Linked DNA regions of Macaca fascicularis. The main gene of each other region encodes a partner of the protein of the gene in region 4 in a complex. Links are inferred from orthologs where the notes say so. Each region holds a gene or a part of one and is shown on either strand. Other genes may lie near its edges.

The links. The genes of interacting proteins can lie anywhere in the genome.
Region 1: MED26 (region 4) and MED8 share a complex: the UniProt entries of both Homo sapiens proteins name them as parts of the mediator complex. The link is inferred for Macaca fascicularis from reciprocal best matches to the Homo sapiens genes MED26 and MED8.
Region 2: the proteins of MED26 (region 4) and MED21 are in contact, whole or in part, in a cryo-EM structure (PDB 7EMF), measured with the Homo sapiens proteins. The link is inferred for Macaca fascicularis from reciprocal best matches to the Homo sapiens genes MED26 and MED21. Residues at the interface, in NP_004822.2 of Homo sapiens: Ser481, Arg482, Asn483, Glu484, Ile485, Ser488, Tyr489, Ser491, Arg492, Ser495, Leu496, Ser498, Ser499, Ser500, Leu528, His529, Ser535, Pro537, Thr538, Asp539, Leu540, Pro541, Gln549, Asp551, Leu552, Ile555, Gln556, Trp560, Gly562, Val563; in NP_004255.2 of Homo sapiens: Ala2, Asp3, Arg4, Leu5, Gln7, Asp10, Ser14, Gln18, Asn21, Gly24, Val25, Gln28, Cys29, Tyr54, Leu57, Phe58, Leu61, Arg64, Thr65, Lys67, Asp68, Val71, Leu72, Asp74, Ser75, Leu76, Pro77, Ser78, Glu79, Glu80.
Region 3: MED26 (region 4) and MED13 share a complex: the UniProt entries of both Homo sapiens proteins name them as parts of the mediator complex. The link is inferred for Macaca fascicularis from reciprocal best matches to the Homo sapiens genes MED26 and MED13.

Annotation. Positions count from the first base shown.
Region 1 is NC_088375.1:191,387,141-191,392,791, forward strand, and holds the start of MED8 (mediator of RNA polymerase II transcription subunit 8), read left to right. Parts: upstream 1-2,296; 5' UTR 2,297-2,480; coding exon 2,481-2,836; intron 2,837-3,491; coding exon 3,492-3,636; intron 3,637-4,140; coding exon 4,141-4,281; intron 4,282-4,468; coding exon 4,469-4,550; intron 4,551-4,912; coding exon 4,913-5,161; intron 5,162-5,651. Other genes in the region: KICSTOR complex protein SZT2, read right to left, coding at 1,152-1,178. UniProt on the Homo sapiens protein: Component of the Mediator complex, a coactivator involved in the regulated transcription of nearly all RNA polymerase II-dependent genes.
Region 2 is NC_088385.1:29,774,999-29,780,397, forward strand, and holds the start of MED21 (mediator of RNA polymerase II transcription subunit 21), read left to right. Parts: upstream 1-2,044; 5' UTR 2,045-2,074; coding exon 2,075-2,116; intron 2,117-5,399. UniProt on the Homo sapiens protein: Component of the Mediator complex, a coactivator involved in the regulated transcription of nearly all RNA polymerase II-dependent genes.
Region 3 is NC_088390.1:46,526,643-46,532,058, reverse strand, and holds the start of MED13 (mediator of RNA polymerase II transcription subunit 13), read left to right. Parts: upstream 1-2,061; 5' UTR 2,062-2,138; coding exon 2,139-2,204; intron 2,205-4,048; coding exon 4,049-4,283; intron 4,284-5,416. UniProt on the Homo sapiens protein: Component of the Mediator complex, a coactivator involved in the regulated transcription of nearly all RNA polymerase II-dependent genes.
Region 4 is NC_088393.1:16,961,576-16,967,183, reverse strand, and holds the start of MED26 (mediator of RNA polymerase II transcription subunit 26), read left to right. Parts: upstream 1-2,249; 5' UTR 2,250-2,506; coding exon 2,507-2,578; intron 2,579-5,608. UniProt on the Homo sapiens protein: Component of the Mediator complex, a coactivator involved in the regulated transcription of nearly all RNA polymerase II-dependent genes.

The DNA of each region.
Region 1 (5,651 bases), on a different chromosome or scaffold from region 4:
TATAGACAGGCTGTCTCCATATTGGTCAGGCTGGTCTCGAACTCCTGACCTTAGGTGATCCGCCCCTTGGCCTCCCAAAGTGTTGGGATTACAGGTGTGAGCCACTGCGCCCAGCCTACTTTGTTACTCTTAATATCTCTGTGCCTCAGTTCCTAAACCAAAAAAAAGGAGATAACAGTGTCCACTTCATAGGGCTGACAGAATTGATACTGGTAAAGCGCTTAGAATGGTGCCAAGCATGCAGTATGTATGCAGTAATGAATACTATTTGTATCATTATACACATCTCTCACCCTTTCCACCTACTAATATACTGGCACCTTTCCTAGTGGTGGTGTTTTATCCAAATCTGAGATTTTAAGCTCAGATCTTCTAACTCCAAATTGCTACTTCCTGGATGAGTGGCATTTGAGTAAGGTACTAAATCTTTCTCATTTTTCAGTTTTCTCCTCTGTGAGAACGCCATCTTCCTTGCAGAAGTCTGAATGACACAATGTATATAAGGTTCCTTGCATGTTCCTTAGCATCTAATGAATATCTCATATCCCCTTTCTGGTTTATTACATGTGATCCTTACAACACACTGTAAGACCATTTTATAAAGAAGGAAACAGGATCGGGGAAGACTCGCCTGAGCTTGCACAGATTAGCTACATGACAGCGCCAATATTGGAGCGAGGTCTCAGTCCGACTCAAATGTTTTTTTCATGAAATTAAAGCTGCTTTTCTAAAAGCATGGGCCCTAGAACTAAATGAATTCATGCTGTTTACAGCATTCCAATGCCTAAAGAAATACAAAACCCGGCAAACTAAATCTACTGCCGTGTTGCCCATTGAAACTGCAACAGAAAGTCAAAATACAAATTTTGTTAATACCACTATCATTAGGTCAAAGAGTTGACGACGCGGATGACACGTCAGTAAACAAAACAAAGCAAAAAGAGTTACTCCTTTAGCTCCCCGAGGAAACTGCAGACCGCGTCCCATAGTCCGCAGGGGTACCATAGTCGGGCCTTCCGGGCTGGGCTGGTCCCTGCCGAGGCTACGCAGCCCGGCCACCCCCAGACCCAGAGGAGGCCAACGCCACGCCTGCCCGCCGGACCCTCCCCCTCGGATCTCAGGGCCCAGTGCTGCGTCCGCCCGCCCCTCACCTCCGGCTCGGGGCGCTCCGAGGCCATCACACAAGCCCTCCCGCGCCGGCCCGGGCCCGTGTGTTCCACTCTTGACCCCTGACCTGGCTACCTCGGCACCCGGAAGGAACAGGAAGTGGGTGGGAGGGCCGAGTTCCAGTTTTCTGATTGGTGGACGAAGCCTTCTCAGAGGCGTTTGCTGACAGGAAACCGGAAGTGGAAATCGTTGCAGTCGCCTCGGCCGCCGCAATGCAGGTGAGAGCCGCGTTGGGAGTGCTAGCGGCTGGCCAGCTTCGGCTACAGGGAGCCAGAGTGGGCTGGCTAAGGAGAATGAAGAGTTGGGACTGAGAAAAGAGGGCAGAACCCACGGCTGATAAGGGAACGTGGGTTGGGGGGCGAGGTTAATTGGAGAGGGAGCGGCGCAGATGAGAGGTGGGGGTGGAGCTCGCCTGACAGAAGGCGGTCGGGCTAAATCCGGAGGGAGGAGGCAGCACTGACTTGCTTGGCGTGGGAAAGGATTAGGTTGTAATACGGGGAGGCCGAGATGCAGTCCAAGGAAGACGGCTCAGGAGGTGGTGGGTTGGCTCAGGCCCTGTCCTAAGCTGCTGGATGGAGGCTGTTGGATGCCGATATAGCAGGGGATCTAATTGGAAAGAAGCCCAAGCAGTGAGGGAATTGTGGGCCGCGGTGTCCGAAAGCTAAGCAGCTTGTAATGTGAGGCCATGGTGGAACCCAGGATCAAGTTCCTGTCAGGCACCTTAGCAGGTTTGCAAGACAGTTTTGCATCACTCTTCCCAGCCTGTGCCCTATAGTTGTTAAGGGTGAAGAAATGGAATAAAACAGGATACCACCGATGGGAAGGAAATGCTTTGCAGACCCCCGGCATTTTAATTTGTTTGTTCAGTGCTTAGAAGCATGTGCGGTTTTGGTTTTCATTTGTCACTTAGTTTCCTGCAGCTGGTAGTCTCAAGAAATGTTATTGGGTTGACCGAGCTTGTGAAAGAGGCACGGGAATATTGACACAGAGATAGATGGGTGCATATTAATTCAGCGAGGAGAAGGTTGAAACATGAAATGATGAGAGCAGATGGAAAGCTGGAGTGGTTGGTGGGGGGAGGGAAAGAGGAGAGCAGGGCTGGTATTCAGAGAAGTCTTCATGAGTAGGCAGATTTCCCAGAGACTGACAAGAGAGCCAGGCTCACAAATGCTAGGATGGAGGAAGCTGGAGTGCATGTGCTACAGAGGTGCACATGAGATAATGATCTGGCATTAGGTTTGTCGAAAATGTCTCAATGAGGGAGTGTAGGGTGTACCTAATACAGAGAAAAACCAGGCATAGATTAGGAGCGGATGGGAAAAAGGAATCAGTTGGTGGAAGTACTTGGGTCAGGCAAACGGTTGAAAGGTCTCAGGGTTGATGCTGTCTATAACCCAAATACCACAGATAGGAAACAACCTGGTTATCCTATGCCAATGAGATCCTGTTACCTGACTGGTGTTTGCACACCATCTCCTTGGCTTTTCAGCCCTCCTTTCTATGTGTCATACTCGTTTATCTGGGTAACCAACCTGTTCCTATTGGTGCAGAGAGAGGAGAAGCAGCTTGAGGCATCATTAGATGCACTGCTGAGTCAAGTGGCTGATCTGAAGAACTCACTGGGAAGTTTCATTTGCAAGTTGGAGAACGAGTATGGCCGGCTGACCTGGTAAGGGTTGCCAGGGCAAGCTAGGGAGGGCTTATGGGTGGGGGGGCCTAGCCTTCTGATGAATAGGACACTTCTAATGATGTAACCATTTATCAGTTTACAAACATCTTTTGATTTGGAAAGAGCTGGGTTTCGTAACATTTAGCAAGTGGCTTCCATGGCAAGGAAGTAGAGAAATGCTCGGTTTCCTAACCCAAGTTCATTATAGCTTTCAATTCTTACCCTTTGACTTCTCTGGTGAGGAGGTCCTCCTATTACAGCTCTATTTGTGCTGGATCTCTTGCCACAAATATGGCTGAGTCCTTTAGATCCAACCTACTCTGAAGTGTGGATCCTATTTCCAGGCTGGAAAGAAGGATTTTACCGGGTTTCTGAAGTTTTAGTTATAACAGTATAGTCCTATTTTGCCACTGTTCCTCACCTCATTCAAACAATGAACTGGATTTTTTCTACATCTGTTTCATAAACTGAAACTATGTCCCTCTTTCATAACCCTGTCATCCTTGTTAGTTTCTTCCCACTTAGGCTAGTCATAGGGCTATGAGACTTTTGGGGATAAATCCGAGTGTTCCTAGCCTGAAGGAACTAGGACTATTTTACTAAGAACCACCCAAGGAAGGGGTGGAACATTCTGACACCTGCTTACTGCCAACAGGCCATCTGTCCTGGACAGCTTTGCCTTGCTTTCTGGACAGTTGAACACTCTGAACAAGGTCTTGAAGCATGAAAAAACACCGCTGTTCCGTAACCAGGTCATCATCCCTCTGGTGTTGTCTCCAGACCGAGATGAAGATCTCATGGTAAGAGCAGAAAAAGAATACAACTTGGGAAATTAAGGAGTTTTTTAGGCTTCTTTACTATTTAGGGAAATTAAGTTCTTAGCTGAGAACTTAGAAATAATTTTGGAGGCCTTGCTTTTTGTTCTTCTGAAGGTGGGAGAGCCACTCCCAAATAGTGTTGTAATAACCTGAGGGGTATGTCACCAAGGCTGGTACCTTCCTTCTCCAACATCTGTCTCAAGCCACAAAGTCTGCCCTTTGGTGACTTTGTCTGTTTCAGTCTTTGAAACGTGGCAGACAGTGATAGTTTAATTTGCCTCTAGGTCTGGTAGAGATAGGGATGTGAGAAGACACAAAAAATGAAGGCTGGAGTAAAGGAGATTGTGTCCTAGGAAACTAGATATTATGTCTTAGGTTGTATTTTCCTTGAAAATGCACTGTTTGCCTGTGGATGGGACTGTATATCAGGCCAGATAGAATCTTCTTGGAGTGCATAGTAGGATCAATAAAATCTGTGTGTTGCAGCGGCAGACTGAAGGACGGGTGCCCGTTTTCAGCCATGAGGTAGTCCCTGACCATCTGAGAACCAAGCCTGACCCTGAGGTGGAAGAACAGGAGAAGCAACTGACGACAGATGCTGCCCGCATTGGTGCAGATGCAGCCCAGGTTGGACTGAGTCACTGCCTTGCTGCCCCATCCCCATCCCATCATGAGAAGCTAGGCATTACCATTCCTGTCTAGTAGGGATGCATAGTTGGTTGCACCTAAGCTGCTTCTGGCAGAACCCAAGGAATAAATTTGTCCATATCGTTTCCTAGTTACCCTAATCTCTGCACAAATTTGTGTGTTACAGAAGCAGATCCAGAGCTTGAATAAAATGTGTTCAAACCTTCTGGAGAAAATCAGCAAAGAGGAGCGAGAATCAGAGAGTGGAGGTATGGTGGACTGGTGGCAAAACAGAGAAGGAGAGGTATATAAGATCACTGGAATGGGAATGGTTGTTTCGAGAGTAGTGAAGTTAGGACACAAGAGTGAACTGCTTTAGGGTTTGCATCCATTCTGTTAGCCTTTTGTATTTAAGGCCAACCCTGAAGCAGTGGAGGAAATGGGCAAAGTAAGAAGAGAGAATTCTGAGATAGGCTTGGGGGTCCTCTGGCTCTTTTTATGGGCTGTGAGGGAGTCTAGATGCTGCTGAATTCAGAACTCTAAACCCTGGCACTCATACTGGTCTTCCAGCTGCCACGTTCAGTCCTGCATCAGAAACATACTTCAGGATCCCCACTTACTTTTTCTTCAGGTCTCCGGCCAAACAAGCAGACCTTTAACCCTACAGACACTAATGCCTTGGTGGCAGCTGTTGCCTTTGGGAAAGGACTGTCTAACTGGAGACCTTCAGGCAGCAGTGGTCCTGGCCAGCCAGGCCAGCCAGGAGCTGGGACGATCCTTGCAGGAACCTCAGGATTACAGCAGGTGCAGATGGCAGGAGCTCCAAGCCAGCAGCAGCCAATGCTCAGTGGGGTACAAATGGCTCAAGCAGGTCAACCAGGTAAGGTGGCAGGGGTTGAAAGGAAGCTGACTTTGAGCAGGGGAGCTGGAGGGAATAAGCTAGATTATCTGGGCCTCCAGCATCTCTAGACCTAGAGATTTTCTCCATTTCTCCTTTGCACTGTGACCCAGGAAATAATTTTCAGAAGTAAAAAAATCTCATTTGAGACTCTGCATAGGCACCAGAGAGTGAGGAAGAACTTTGAGTAACAGAAACTGCTCTCATTTCCCATCTCCATCTCACATCTCTGTGTCAACTATCCTTCGGTCCCATTTATTCTGGTATTAGATATGTTGTCAGTGTCTCTTCTTAGGTAGAGAAATCAGTGGTCAGATCTTAAGACCGTTTGGTAGGTGCATTAGGAATTGACACGCAGGCCAGTTTTCCAGTCCTACATGTATTCTTTTCTCTGTATCATGCCTCTCTTGCTCTTGGCTTCCTGCTTTCTCTCCTACTCATTTTTAGAATAGTCTATATGGAGGCAGCTAGA
Region 2 (5,399 bases), on a different chromosome or scaffold from region 4:
GGGACATTTGGGACTATCTGGAGATACTTCATGTTGTCATAAATGGATTGGGGGGATGCTGCTGGTATCTCCGGGGTAGAGGACAGGGATGCTGCTAAACATCCTACAATGCACAGGTCAGCATCCCACAACAAAGAATAATCTAGCCTAAAGAGTCAAGAGTGCGGCCATTGAGAAATCCTGAGCTAGATGCACAGACTATATTTGGCAGGTGGGTTATTCCTGAAGTCTATGGCTTCAAGAGCTTCATAAACCCCTTTTCAAATGTAGGCTAAGTTGAGAGTCTGGTCTGGGGAAAGGGTCCACAGCTTTTATCTGATTCTTAAAAAGATCCGTGGCCAAAAGAGGCTGAAGAACCAGGAAAACCAAGGGGTCAGGGCCCTTGGCTGAAACAGAGGATTATTTCACTCAGAAAATTATCAAGAGGTGAGGCTGGGTCTGTTTGCTGGAGCCAGATTATAGTAAATCTTGACAACTAGGCAGAGATAGTTGGACATCAACCTGAGGTCTCTGTGGAGACACGGAAGACCTACTAGGAAGATAGTGGCAGGACAAAAACTGTGTCACAATATGAGTTGTCTTGAAGTGACTTCTCTACTTCAAGTGCCCAAGTTCCCTTCAATCACGCTGCAAAACTTAGTATCCTTACGGAGTGGACTAAACTGTATTCAATCAGTCACCAATCCGTATTAATTATTTTTCTCAAAAATATATTTTAGTCTTTTTTTCCTCTCTTATCAGGGTCAACACCCTATTCTAGGCCCAGCTCACCTTAATCTTGGACAACTGCAAAACCTTCCTCTTGGTGAGTCCTTGGCTTATTCATCTTTGCACACTGAGCACTGGATATACTTCCTGGCATGTGGCAGGCATTCAGTAAGGTACACGCTCAAGTGAAGGTGGGAGGAAAAGGTTGTAGATTCCCCCAAGTTACAGTTAGAACAAATTATGGAGTGATTTCTCATTAGTTCCATTATGGGGAGCATGCCTCATCCACGTTCTTAATGAGGCCCCAGTAAGTCTGTAGACTGTTTGGGGATGAGGGTGGGGCATGGGTGTGAAGCAGAAGTGGTGCTTCCCAGCAAGGGTTGGGATAAATCCAGCAAGCTGAGTTCCCCGGGGACTGTGTCCACCACCTACCCCGCAGCCGCAGGAAGGTAATCACGGATAATCAGCCTGAGAAAGAGGATATGAGAGTTTGTTTGATGTCTCCAAACCTGTTATTTGCCGACTCCAAACTCATTTCTTACCAGACTATCCTCAGGCTAAATTTCCTTAAATACCAAGTTTCTATTATCACTCTTCACACTTAAGCTCTCAATAAGTCCCAACTCTAAATCTAAATTGTGCAGCTGATTTTTCTTGGCTGGGCGCGGTGGCTCATGCCTGTAATCACAGCACTTTGCGAGGCCAAGGAGGGCGGATCACGAGGTCAGGAGACGGAGACCATCCTGGCTAACACGGTGAAACCCTGTCTCTACTACAAAAAAAAAAAAAAAAAAAAAAAAAAATTTAGCCGGGCGTGGTGGCGGCGCCTAAAGTCCCAGCTACTCGGGAGGCTGAGGCAGGACAATGGCGTGAACCCGGGAGACGGAGCTGGCAGTGAGCCAAGATCGCGCCACTGCACTCCAGCCTAGGCGACAGAGCCAGACTCCGTCTCAAAATAAATAAATAAATAAATAAATAAAAATAAATAAATATATCTACTCTTCAATGTAGTCAATAAGTAAACACATGAGAGGATAGGAGAAATCACTAAAAAAAAAAAAAAATCCCCGCTGAATCCAACGATCTCTGAAGCCTTTAACACCTAACAACCTCAAAGAGAGTATTTCAGCCCCTCAAAGCGATGGACCCCAGGCCGCTCCCCAGTTACTCAAAAGATCCAGCCTCTCCTCTGGTGTAGCCCGCTCTAAGGCCGCCTCGGCAGTACCACCCACTCCTGACGGGCGGGGAGTTCTCTCCGACCCCACCCCTTCCAAGAAGGCAGCGCTGGGATTGGCCATGACGCGTACCAGAGCTGCCCAGTCGCGGAAGAGCAGCTGTTTTGGCGTCGGTTTGCTGCGGGAAGAACATGGCGGATCGGCTCACGCAGCTTCAAGACGCTGTGAATTCGGTGAGGAATTTCATTCGATTAGCCTCTGTCTTTCTCTTTCCTGAGGTAAAGCAAGGGAGAAAAGGGGCCCAAGAGGCAAAACTTGGAAGTGGAAAGCGGACTGAGAAACAGGGCTTCGGCATAAAGCGCTCTCTCGGGAGGCGCCACCGCGAACTCGGAGGTGTGAGGCCGGCTGCCGGGCGGTGCTTGAAGGTGCGGGAGGGAGCAGCCTCTTTCGCTTGAGGAGACCGGGAAGATTGCTCTTGTCCGGGTGGGGCCGCCAAGACTTGTCGGCTGCGCGGTCCTGTCGTATTCCCTGAGGACAGTTTTATTTTCTTGGCAGCGGTGCTTACATCTCTCTTTTGGGGGTTGGGAGGAGAAGCAGGAGCTCTTTTCTTTCCTCATCAATTTGAATCCACCAAGGGAGATCTCGTGCTGTGGATGACTGGGTTTTTGTAATGAAATGCCAGCCGAGAGTATTCCTTCACCAGCGCTTTCAGGTTGGTGCGGAGCGACGCTGAGGCGAGAGATTTTTCATCTTCGCTCCTTCCTGTGGGCCCAGAGCCTCCTTCCATCTCTTGTCTCTTGGCCACCCCTCAGAATGCATCAGTTTGGGGACATCTTTATGATAGGAAATCTTCTGATTCTCGTATGTCTTTCCGTTTATTTGAGTCTTTCTTTTTTCTTTTCTTTTCTTTTTTTTTTTTTTTTTTTTACTTTGGAGACTGTGTCTGTCGCCCAGGCTGGAGTACAGTGGTGCCATCTCGGCTCACTGCACCCTCCGCCTCCGCCAAACAAGTAGCTGGGATTACAGGCGCCCTCCACCACGCCCGGCTGATTTTTCTATTTTTAGTAGAGACGGGGTTTCACCATGTTGCCCAGGCTGGTCTCGAACTCCCGGCCTCAAGCGATTCTCCCGCCTCGGCCTGCCAGAGTGCTGGGATTACAGGTGTGAGCCACCGTGCCCGGCTTACAAGTCTTTTTGAACGTCTCCCCCAAATTCTACGCTCTATTAAAGGCCAAGTCTTGTAGGTAGCTCCCCAGCTTTGTTCCTTCTGGTAATTTTTCCTCCAAGCTATGCCTGAGTGGAAAGCAGAAGCAAAGCCAGAGGATGCGCATACAGTCATGGGCCCTTAATGAAGGGGTTATGTTCTGAGAAATGCATGGTTTCGGCGATAACTTTTTTTTTTAATAAGTAGAAGTACAATGTATTATAACGATGAAACAGTAAATACATAAACCAGTAACAAAGTCATTTAGTATCATTATCAAGTATCATGGACTGTACTTAATTGTATGTGCTAGACTTTCATACACTGGCAGTGCCGTAGGTTGCTTTACAGCAGCGTCACCACAAGCACAGACCGCTATGATGTCACTAGGCAGTAAGAATTTTTCAGCGTTGTTATAACCATAGGGGACCGACATAATATATGCATCCCGTTGACCAAGACGTCAGTGGGTATTCTCTTGCTGCAATGGGTATACTTATTACCATTACCAGTTACATAGTTTTCTGTTAAATAGTTTTCCATTGATAGTTATGTTTCTCATTGTCTGATTGTGATTTAACGTCCTAGATAAGGGACTAGAGAGAAAACATGCTGAGAGGAAAACCTAAGTACCTGGTTTCTTTGCCAGTTTTTTTTCCTCACTGTAAGCTAATAACTTGGCATTTTTCTTAATACATCAGGCTTTGTACACTTGAAGAGTGTGAATCTACTTGTGATAAACTGATCTACCCTGGGTGAATAACACTAGTTTTTAAGGCTGAGAGGACCAGCTTCTAAATGTTGAATTCACCAAGATAAATTCTGCCCTGCAGGGACTTGCCTGAGCTGCCAGTCAGCCTTCCTCAGGGAACTACTCCTTTGAGATTTTACAAAATCAAATTGTAATGATGCTGCTGGATAGAAATCTTATTTTAGGGAAACTTTTGCATATTCATACATGTCTTGTAACTAGAAGGATAGTAAGGACAGAGTGAATATGGCCTTAACTCCAGGTTAGGCGTACTGATAATTGGATTTTGGAGAAAAGCCTTTAGGATAACTAGTATGAGTGCCTACTGTGTATAAGCACTATCATGTTTGCAAAGAGATACTCCTTAAGGAGGTTAAAAAAATGTCATATACTCAGGAGACATTTAAGTGATGGAAAAACAGTATGTGGTTAGGGAGTTATAATGAATTGAGTATTTTCAGCTTTAGGTTCTGAAGTAAATTGGAATATGGAGTGATGTGAACCAAAATAGAGGGAATCTTCTTAGCATTTATCCTAATCAGATTTGTATAACTTTTAACATTTGTTCTACCCTCTGAAAACCATGAGTGCAGAAGCTATGTCGCATTCACTATGTCTCTATAGTGTTTAAATGTAGTACTTGTCATAGTTATTTTCCATAAAGTTTTGTTGACTGAATGGATCTTAAAAGTTTTTTTTTTTTTTTTGAGACGTAGTCTCTCTGTGTCGCCCAGGCTGGAGTGCAGTGGCCGGATCTCAGCTCACTGCAAGCTCCGCCTCCCGAGCATTCGCCTGCCTCAGCCATTCTCCTGCCTCAGCCTCCCCAGTAGCTGGGACTACAGACGCCCGCCACCTCGCCTGGCTAGTTTTTTGTATTTTTTAGTAGAGACGGGATTTCACCGTGTTAGCCAGGATGGTCTTGATCTCCTGACCTCGTGATCCGCCCATCTGGGCCTCCCAAAGTGCTGGGATTACAGGCTTGAGCCACCGCGCCCGGCCTAAAAGTTTTTGAAGGATGGAACAGATAGACACTGTGTTGAATATTTTGTGTATTTCCTCTTCCTCACAACAATGCTGTAATAGGAGAATGTATCCAATTTAAAAATGAAAAATGCTACCTGGGTTAATAGAGCTGGGATCTACGTTTGTATAGCGTCTGAGCACTTATTGCTCCATTACTATTATTAAAACCTGGGCAAAGCCATTTAGTCATAAGTGACTTTATGACTAGTTAGGTAAATATGAAGGAGTAGTGGAAAACAAGTCAGTAGAGTTGACTTAGATTGTTGAAAGCTTCAAAACAGCCTGAGTTGGAGGTTTACCTTGAAGACAGTGGTGGAGTAAGCTCAAATGTTTTTATCAGGGTAAAATAAATAACCTGGTGAACTGGCAAACAACAAGAAGGCTATTGTAATAATTCTGGTGTGAGATAATTGGTTGAACTAAGCAACAATAATGATAGAAGGAAAAGAGGAAGATTTGTAGTATTAGCATAATTTGAAGATCAAAGGAAAGCAAGAATCTGAAGTTAGACTGGTTGACTAGGAGACTTTCAATACAA
Region 3 (5,416 bases), on a different chromosome or scaffold from region 4:
AGCTTTTTCTCCAGCCTTTGGGCTTCAGACCTGGGCTCTTCACCACTACAGATGAACAAGTGGATGAATGAGGACTTCTTTTTCTTTTTTTGTCTTTTTTTTTTTTTTTTTTTTTCCTTTTTGTGGAGAACAGGGTCTCGCTATATTACCCAGGCAGGTCTCGAACTCCTGGGCTCAAGCTATCCTCCCGCCTCTGCCTCCCTGAGAGCTGGGATTACAGGCGTGAGCCACCGCGCCCGGCAAGGACTTCTTTTTCATTCCGTGGCTGAAGAAGTGACATGGAAGACTCTACCATTCAGTTTACAGATACAATTATGTATCTATAACACATAATACATAATTATGTATCTGTAATAGTTACATAAAATTACAGTAAGTCCTAACTCACCGATATTTCTAACTTCTGAATCATCTTTTCTTCTTCTGTCTTGCAATCCTAAAACCGTCAGAGAAACTGTTTTGAACTCTTATATTGAAGTGTAACCCATCCAAGCACTGGGTGTTTTATGGGAAAGAGAATGAACCTTTTGTTTGGTTCTTACTTCTTACCACCCACTCATTTGTAAATATACAAATATGAAGCACCTACTGTGTGCTAGGTATCTTTTTTTAGGCACTAGAGAGACAGAAGTAAACAACAACAAAAACGTAGTGAGACCTTTACATACACTAGTTCTCCTGCTTCTCACAATAACTGTATGAGGTAACGATGACAACAATAATAGTTAACTCTTAACAGTGCTTATCTGTGCAGGGCCCTGGGCTACCTGCTTAATTTGCATTAACTCATTACAATAAGCTTGTGGGGTAAGGGGCATGTTTTCCCCGTTTTACAGACGAGGAAACAAGACACAGAGCAGAAAGTGATTTGCTCAAGCTTGGAACCCAGGGAGTGTGGCTCTAATTCCCAGTCTATTAACTACAGGGCAATATTTTGTTTCTTAAGTTTCTATCTTCATATCACAACTTTTAGGTGGTGGAGTCTCGTCCCCATCCAGATCGTCTGACTCCCAAATCCAGAGGTTTGCGCCTGCACCCCAGCGGCCTCGCGAAATAAATGAGAATGTCTTGGAATTTTTGTCAATACTTTCTCTTCCAAAGAACTCAAACTGATTTCCACGTAATTCCCATTGATTTGTGAAATGAACCTTCCTGGACTGTAAATTTCCCCGCAAAGACAGGGCCAGGGCCACGGGTCATTTTACACTGGCCAGGGCACCCAGCAGGTGGCGCTATGTTAGTGGCTACCAGCTGGCTGCCCAGTCCCCGGGGCTCACCGCCTCGGCCGAAAGCTTCCCGGCCCTCCCTCGCTCACTTCTCTCTCCCCCTCCCCACGGAGCCCGGGCCCACGTGACCTCAAGGCGGCCAATGGGTGAGCAGAGAGGGCGAGCTGGTCCCTGTGGCCGCCATTAAAGCGAAGGGAAAACCCGTGAATTCGGATTAAAGGGGGAAAAACACCGCCCGCTGGGCCCACAAAATGGGGGAGACTACGGCGTCCAGCCGGTGAGGCCGCAGGAGGGCAGACGTTAGGCCGGCTCGGCCCAGGGACGACACGAAGACAGAGCCAGAGAATGGTCTGAGCCCGCAGACGCCGCCACCACCTCCGCCGCTGAGGAGACTCTGGGCTTAAGGACATCGCCGCTGCCGGGCCGGGGGCCTGGGCTTCTCTCCCGGTTCTCGCCCTTCCCGCCCCTGTGTGGGCGCCTCCCCGCCCGGGAGAACCTTCCAGGGCTTGGGCTCTGCCGTCTCGGACTCGTTTTTGATTATTTATTGTGTAATTTATTATTTTTCTTGTGGTAGGGGCACACATCCCCTCCGTCTCCCAGAGAAGGACGAGCGTCTGCGGGCTCCGCAGTCCGGCCCGCCAGGCGAGCGCGGCGCGGCCCTCCCGCCTCCGGCCCTCGGCCCCGGGCGGCTGGGTGCCGGCCGGGCGGCGGGGGCTGCTCGCGGCGGCGGCAGCGGCGGCGGCGGGGGGGTGGGTGGGGAGGGCGGGCGGCCCGGCGGCCTCCTCTTCCACCGCCCCCCCAACCACTACCCCCCCACGCCCTCCCCGGTGTCTGTGTTTCTCTCTCTGGTCGGAGGCGGCGGTAATGGCGGATGGTGGGTTGTGGCGCCGGCGGCGGCTGCTGTGAGGGACGATGAGTGCCTCCTTCGTGCCGAACGGGGCCAGCCTGGAAGATTGTCACTGTAACCTCTTCTGCCTGGTGAGTGCCGGGGCCGGCGGGCGCCGAGGGAGGGGGGCCGTGAGGTGCGCCCTTGGGCCGTGGGGGAGGGGGCCGGGTCTGGTCCAGATGCCCGAGTCCCCGGGCGAGGCCCAGCCGGAGCCGGCGCCCTGCGAAGCTCCGCGGCCAACCCCGGGAGACTGCGTTCGCTCTCCCACGGTCCCGGGCCCTGTTTGGGGAGTGTTGGCATTTTTTCTCGTCTTCTTTCGGACTCTCCTCTTCACCGTAGTCTCGTCCTCAACTTGAGCTCCTTATCTGGCAGGACAGTAACCTTTCTCTCTCTCTTAACTGTTGCTTTTCTGCTTATTGGCCTTGTATCCCAGCTTCACACTTTCCATTATTGCCCCTGCTCCCCACCGCCTTTATGTCTCATCCTTTTAATTTGGTTTCCCCATGTAAACAGGACCCCAGAACTTATGCCCCAGAAACCTGTCTTCGTTTTACATTTTTTTTGTATGAGTCAAACTAACGCAAGGTTAGTTTCTTCCTTGGGTGACTTAAGATCTCTCTGTAAAAACCAGTAGGTGCCATTTCATATGTTTTCTTTTTAAACTTTGAAAACAGTTTGCCATTTTTGACAATTTCTAGCCATCTTGCTTTTATTAGAACATAATTTTTTTTGTGCGAGTGAAGGGGGCTAATGGACGAGGTGCTGTGGTTTTGCACTGTTTCTATATTTATTGTGTTTTGCTTGCTTTTTCAGAATGTTTTGAGCAGGCTGCTCCCTTGTTTGATTGAAATGAAAAGTCCAGAGAAGCTGGGTGTAGGGATGACCATTGTGTAGGTTAGCCCAGGTCTGGTAACATCCAACAGTTGAGACTTTCAAAAGTACCAACTGTTGCAAATAACTTGGCCTGTGTGGGACAGTAGCTGAGCTTCATCAATGACTTTAAGTTTGGGTGACTTTATTTTTTCATTTTCTCCTTTGTGCTATGAGAAATATTAAGAGTATATGATAGGTAATAAGTGAGTTAAGTGGGCGGAGCACAACTAGTTGGCAAGTGTAAACTGCCAGTCATGTATCAGCAGTTTCATTTTTGGCACCTTATGCTTTGCACCTTTAAGTTAGATTAAATTATTGAATTCCTCTTGAATTTCTTTCTGGATGCTAAATTGAGATCTTTCATACTCTATCCTCTTCTACAGTATGTTTTTCTTTTCAATGTCCATTAATCAGCATCTCTTCACGTATAATAAGACATACACCAGGTTTTGTATTCTATCTTATCCAACTCAGTCTATTTTTGATACTTTTAGGATCAGGCTCTTTGAAGATAGACTAGCACAAATCTGACAGTTCTTTGTGAGCAGCTATTTGACTTTTCCGACAGGGGTATGTGTGAAGAATTAACATAGATTTTTTTCAGGACTTGTTCAGATGTCTTTTCATTAGAGACATTACTTCTGTAAATGTGGAATAAAAACCCGTGATAGGGTCTTTAATAATTGATTTTCAGTTAAACGTTTGACACCAATGAATAAATGTGACCATTTAGGACAGAGAAAAATGTACTCTGTTTGTATATTGAAGTGTGTGTGTCTGTCTATATTTAACTTCGTTCAGTTTCTTTTATTTCTACTTGGAGTACATATTTGCTTGCTATTCAGTGACATGGTGGTATTTATTTTTAACTGTGTTCTTCTCCCTAAAATTGTTGGTTGTTGAATTATAAAGTCATTTTTTTTTGGTTCTAATTTGCATTCAATAGCTCAAGCATATATTGAAAAATTGTAATGTCTTAACGAAATAGGAGACATCGTATGGAGTACTTTTGTGAATTTGAGTGAATATGCAATAATAAAACATCATGCTTTCTTTTATTCAGGCTGACTTGACGGGAATTAAATGGAAAAAATATGTATGGCAAGGCCCAACTTCTGCCCCTATTCTGTTTCCTGTGACAGAAGAAGACCCCATTTTGAGCAGTTTTAGTCGCTGCCTTAAGGCAGATGTACTTGGTGTTTGGCGGCGAGATCAAAGACCTGGAAGAAGAGAATTGTGGATATTTTGGTGGGGTGAAGACCCCAATTTTGCTGACCTTATTCACCATGACTTATCAGGTGAAAGAAACTTTCCATTTCTAATTAATGATACAGCAACATTGTATACTTCTCCCAGAATATCATTTGTATTACAAAGTAAGTTTGTTATTGTGGGACACTTAGGTAGGAGGCCAGATAAAAATTGAGCTTCATGTTTTATTTCACCATGATTATTTTATTTTACTCAAATTATCCATGTTATAGCTGGGTTTTTTAGGCTTGAATGACTTTCTCCTTTTACCACCTCTCTTCTTAATTTCTCACGGGTAGTTAGGGTCCAAGGAAGGCATGCCACATTAATCTCAAAAAATGGAATCAGGAAACAGAGTTCCTAACAAAGTCATGTAATAGTTTTGAAGCCAGATGTAACTTTTGAGTCACTTCAGCCACTGTCAAAGTTGAGTCTTTTGCATTAAATGGGCAGATGATTCTAAAAGTACTGGAAATGTAACTATCCTTGTGTTTGTGTGTGTGTGTGCGCGCATGTTTTAAGGTATGTAAGTATTTTGTTACTGTCATTTGTGCTGTTTGATTAACATATGAAGGCATATGTTAATTTAGTTATTTTTGGAAAGTGACTCATATACTGTTCTGTCACATACTCAATAAGAGACAAGTGCCAACTTGTTTAGCTTTTATAGGACATGGGATCATAATCTAAAAGGTTACACAAACAATTTTATTATGAGCAAATCAATGTGATTACTTCCTTATTTTCTTGACTTTTAGGACCAAATGCTACTTTAGAAAGAGAAACTATAGCTTTTCATAATAATTACTGAAGCTTTGAACTGTCAAAGTCAGTATTTACTGAATCTTAGATAATAGGAATGTAAATGATTGGTTGTATGCTATAAGGTTCCGAACACTTCGGTAAGATAGTTTGATAATGATTTTTGATAGATAAATTTAGGATTTCTAGATAATTTTTTTAAAGTTCTTGTTTGAAATTGAGTACTCTGAAGTTTTTGTTATTGTCCCTATGACCTATAGGATCTATTTTATTTCTGGATAGAATGTATTCTAGGTGTCTGTATCTTGAACTGGTACTTAGTAAGACCAACATTTATGTAGGAATGTACGTGTTACATTTGTATGTTTTGATAATTGCTTTTCACATTCTAATGAACATACTCTCCCGTGATAATTAC
Region 4 (5,608 bases):
CTCTGTCACCCAGGTTGGAGTACAGCGGCATGATCTCAGCTCACTGAAGCCTCTGCCTCCTGGGTTCAAACAATTCTTTTGCCTCAGCCTTCCAAGTAGCTGGGATTACAGGTGCCACCATGCCCGGCTAATTTTTGATTTTTTGGTAGAGAAGGGGTTTCACCATTCTGGCCACGCAGGTCTTGAACTCCTGACTGCAAGTGATCTGCCCACCTCGGCCTCCCAAAGTGCTGGGATTACAGGCATGAGCTACCAGGCATAAGCCACCATGGCTGGCCCCACATTTTGTTTGTTTTTGTTCATTTGAGACAGAGTCTGTTGCCCAGCCCGGAGTGCAGTGGTGCAATCTTGGCTCACTGCAACCTCTGCCTCCCGGGTTCAAGCAATTCTCCTGCCTCAGCCCCCTCTAGTAGCCAAGATTACAGGTGCGCGCCACCACGCCCAGCTAATTTTTGTATTTTTTGTAGAGATGGGGTTTCACCATGTTGGCCAGGCTAGTCTCGAACTCCTGAGCTCAAGTGATCCACCCGCGTCAGCCTGCTGAAGTGCAGGGATTACAGGCTTGAGCCACCACTCCCGCCCAAATGTTTCTTAAAATAACTTGACCCATGCAAAATAAATTGTCTCCTATGTAATCCTTTATTTAAAAAAAAAAAAAAAAAAAAGATACTGTACATCCGAGTTAGAAATTGAAAGGCAAGACCAGAATATGCCTGAGGAAGGCTTTGTTTATTTTGCTTATCAGAAATGAGATAAAGAATTATCTCCGAATGGGCCAGTTTCCAACTTGGACCATGTACACCATATACACAATGCTCCGCATTCTGGGAGGGGTGAGGTTGGGAGCAGTAAATGACAAGTGTTTTGCCCGTGTTTCTTTTCTCCTCCAAGTGGATGTAAAACTTTTCACATGTGCAGAAGCACGCAACTATAGCCACGTGCAGAAGCAGCCGTTTTTGCAAATGAAAACATTTCCCAGAAGCACAACAAATACAAGACTAACAGGTGCCAGGCAGCGCCAAGGCACACATGTGGTTCTCATCAGCCGTCTTCCTCCTGTTTTAAATCTAGGTCTTCCTGTAACAGTGGGGAAAAAAAAGATTTCTCCCGAGGCCGCCGAGCTTGCCTTTCCACCCCGTCTCACAACAGCATTTCCAACAGAGTTCCCAGAGAGAGGGGAGCAATTACAGAAGGCAATAAGTAGGGTGGAGGGAGGAGGGGCGCCCTTAAACTTGACACCTGCGGTTCTGGGCTTAACCCCGAAGTCTAGGTGACCTTGGGCCTCCGTTTCCTCCTGTGACGTGTTTGGTTAAGAGAATGAGCATCTCAGTTTTACAGCACCTCCAGGCAGAGGCGGGTAGAAGGGTCTTTCAATCACGGGGTTTTCTGCCGGTAGCGGGGCGGGGGGACTGTGCCCCAACAAGGGATGGCGGCAATGACTGCAGACTGGGGGAGGGGGCGCTTCTGAGGCCAGAAATGCCGCTCAACTTTCGACAGATCGCGGGACCCGCCCCAACGACAGAGCAATATCGCCCAAATGCCAGTGGCGCCGAGGTGGAGAAGCCGCGGCGTAGACGCAGATTTGCAACCTCCGGCTTTCCAGCGTTCCCAGCTACGGGGGGCGGCTTCTTTGCCGCCTCACGTTTTCGCGATCGGGGTCGCGCGTGGCGATGCAGACCCCCGCCCGTCACCACACCCATTCCCACACTCTCTAAGGGGCGGGGGCGGCCGCGGCGACACCCCTGGACTCCTCCGATGACCCTTCCGTGCGCAGAATCACAACGTGGACGTCTGCTTCCCTCGCCCTCACAAAAACTTCGGCAGCTGCTCAGCCTGCGACTCTCATCCCCCAGTCACGCGCCGGGAAGGCTCTCCTAGAGGAAGGATTTTCCCGCCGCCCTCCCTGCCCTGAGGTAGCCGCCGCGAGCGTCCGGGTTCAAGGACTCTTTGCGCGCGCGCTTCCGTCAGAAAGCCCCGCCCCGCGACCCGGGCGGGGGCGGGGTCTCCAGGCAGCGACCGTTGCCCCGCCCAACCTCCTCCCAACGGCTGCCTAGGCCGGGCGGCGGGGCGGGGCGGCACAGGCGGGTGAGTGCGCCTGCGCGCGCGTGCGCGGAGGCGCGGGGCGGGGCGCACGGGCAGCCCCGCCCATGCCTGGCGTCTCCGCCCGTCCCATCTCCCAACCTCCTCAGCGTGGCGCCGACGCTGCGTGCGGCGCGGACTACCCAGAGTACTCCGCGCGGGGGCAGCTCACTGGAGTTTGGTTCTCGAGGCGGCGGCAGCAAGCGGCGGCGGCTCCGGCGGCTCCTCCTCCTCCGGTGGCGGCGGCGGCCCGGGACCGAGACCCGGCCCCGGCTCCCCTCTCCGCCACCCCGCGCGCACCTAACCCTCCGGCGCCGCGGGGAACATGCGGCTCCGGCTCCCGGAGGCCGGCGAGTGAGTGACCCCCGTCCCCCGCCTCAGCCCGCCCGCCCGCTGGCCCGGCCGCAACCCCCGCCTCGCCCAGGCAATGACAGCGGCTCCGGCGTCTCCGCAGCAGATCAGGGACCGGCTGCTGCAGGCCATCGACCCCCAGAGCAACGTAAGTACCCGCCGCGCGAGCTGGGACGGAGGCCGCATGGGCCTGGGACCCTCCCCCTCTCCTGTCCCCCTCGCCCACCGGGCTTCGGGGGACCCGTCTGGCGCCCACCTCCCCTCGAGGGCCGCTGCCATCTCTGCCTCTCACTCCTCGGGCCCGGGCCGGGGGCAGGTCGGGCAGCCCGGCAGCGCTTGGTACGTGAGGCCGAGGCTTCCGTGCGGCCTGGGCGGAGGAAGCAGACGGGGGGCTAAGGGTAGAGTTTATCTCCCCTTTCTGCTCCAGCTCTATGACCCTCACTGCTCTGGACGAAGCTGCCCTGCATCGCCCTCCCTCCGGGACCTGAGACCCCCGGGAAGCCCTCCCGGAGCGGGGGAGGGGAGGGAGAAGGGCTGTGAAGCAACTGGTGTCCGGGGTATGACTCGGGGAGCCTGTGTCTCCCATGTCTTAGCCTTCTGGGTTATGAGAGAAGTCCTTCCCCCTCCTCCCGGCTGGCAGCACCTTCCTGGCTTCGGAGAGAACCCCCAGTGTGTTTTGCCCCTGGCCGGGTACCCAGGGTACGTGGAGAGTCTGTCTCCCTTCTGTGACTGGACACGCCTTCGCCAAAACCCTCTTGGGGTCGCTGCCAGCGACAGATGATTTCGGGGAGGGTGGGATCCTTCCTGTTGCCTTTCTGGGCCTCAGTACCCATTGCGTCTCTGACCAAGCCAGAGCTCCATTTTTTTGGGTAGTGAATTAAAGAGGACTTTTCTCTCCCGTTTACCCAAGAGCCCTGTTTCAGTAGGCTCTTTCCCTCACCTGGGGGTCTCAGCCTGGTGGCTATTGACCCAGACTGTCAGGGTTAACTCCAGGGTGTCGCTTCCTCGGGTGCCCCTTTGCTGAGGCTACTGTTGGCGGAGGGACCGCCCCTTCCCCCTCCGTATGTGTGGCTGTGTATCTGTGTGTGTGTATGTGTGTTGTTGCGGGGGTGGGGTGGGGGTGGGAAGACTGATCTATTCTCATATTTTCTCCAAGAGTTTCTTGGCAGTAGGGGTCATACTTCCCGCGGCAGGAGCAGGGCGGTGGGAAGATGCAGTAGCATCCAGGTATGAAGTGAGGCCCTGCTTCCCAGGAAGTGGCCATTGAGATCACTTTTTAATATGCTGTGAATGGAAGAAAAAAATCATCTTTGGCTTGGCCAGGTAACTCAGGTTTCTCTCACCGTAGGGGTTTTTACTTGTAGTTTTACATGAGCTTGGCTGATTACTCTTAGCAGTATGCTTAACTCTGATGATGTTTTTGGAATAATTCACGTTGACTTATACAATTTTTGGTAAGATTGAAGGGTTATGAGTTTTTTTCTAAGGCCCTGTTTTTGCTGTGATATAAGTACTTCTCTTATCCCTGGTATTCAGGTCCCATTAACATTGACTTGATGGTAATTGTCTTTAACAAATGTTATATTATACATTTTTGTTATGACTTTGGGGGTGGAGTGGGCACAAGCTATATAAAACCTTCTCGAATGTCCTTTTTGCAGTAACTGGTGCCACTGCAATTTTAAGATTGAAATATTAGAGGATAAAACTAGTGACATGAAAAAAATAGCCTTGGTGACTTGTACATCTTTTGTGGAGCCAGAAGGTAATTTTTTGAATTTCACGCACTCGCTTTCCTTCTGGAGAGTCTGAGAGGTTGCTGAGATATTAGCACTGATCCTTAATGCCACCTCAGAGAGCTTTGGGATCAGGCGGCACTTTGACAGGCGATCACAGTGTTGTAGATTAGGTCACTCCAGTGACCTCACAGTTTCCAGTATTGTGTAAGGCTCTAATCAAAAGGGTTCCTTGAGGCAGAAGAAAAGAGGACGGAACAAATCTTAGTTTTGTGTGTCTCAGCTCATGCAGAAATGTTATATAGGTCCCTGGTTATGTTACCTGACATGGAATTTGCATTTCATATCGCTTATTTTCAAGGACTTTGGTGATGATCTTGGGCAGAGTCCTACTAACATGGGGTGGATGGATTTGGGAAATTATCTTCTTGATTATGAGCAATGAGGAAAGTGCCTCCTTTGTGATTGATCCTCTGAGCGCTGTTATGGGCCGTTTGACAGGACCGTTCGCTTTGAGCAAACACCATGCAGAAACAGAGCTGCAGTGGACGGGGTTTGCTGGCGGAGGTGGTGGTGAGAGCTGGGCATGTCAGTGTGTCTGCAGTTTCTCTCGGATCAATGTGGGCTCAGGTGAGAGCAGGTGGCTCCAGCACAGGTGCTGCCGGTGTGCCGGTCTCTCCTCTCTGCCCTGCCCAATGATGAATTCCACTACTGGATATTTAGTTGACACATATTTAAGATGCTCGTGGAAAAAAAAAAAAAAAACGGGGACAGTGTTGAAGAGCCAACACTAAAATTAAACCTCTTCTGAGAGAAGCGGCAGAGAATTGTGTCATGTAATGCTTACCTTTATGGGCATGCAATTATGGTTAACAAACTTAGCTATTGCTTGCAAAATCAGTGTCAGGAACTGACCTAATATCCAAAAGTATCTGGAAAGTTAGGGAAGTGACGAAGTCGTGTTTACCAACCATCTCCTTGACAAAGAAATTCTTACGAGGAAAGTTGTTTCTGTGCTCTTTTAGCCCCTGGAGTATGCATTTGAATTCCTATAGCAGCAGGCTCAGAGTTAATAATTTCTGCCAATTCAGTAATAAAGTAAATCCTCTACTCTCCTTTTCAAAAGGCTACTAACGGTTTTTCAGAGCAGTCGGAGCTTTTCTTTTCGTTGTGCACCCTTTCAGCCCAGGGTGTTGAAAATCTCTCCGAAGCGCAGTGTGTGCATGATTGTTCCAGCTTACTCTCGCTGCATTGTGGGTAAAGTGAAGGACTGTGTCTTACTCTCGCACAGCAGTCGTAGTGAGCAGTCTCCTCAGCAGGTGATTCGGTTCCCATCTGCCTGGGACACTCTTTGTTTTGTGGAGGTACGAGCTTTATCTTCCTGTGCGGCACACAAGCTTCTTGGGATGTTTCATGTCTTGTCTTCTCCCTCTAGAGCAGAA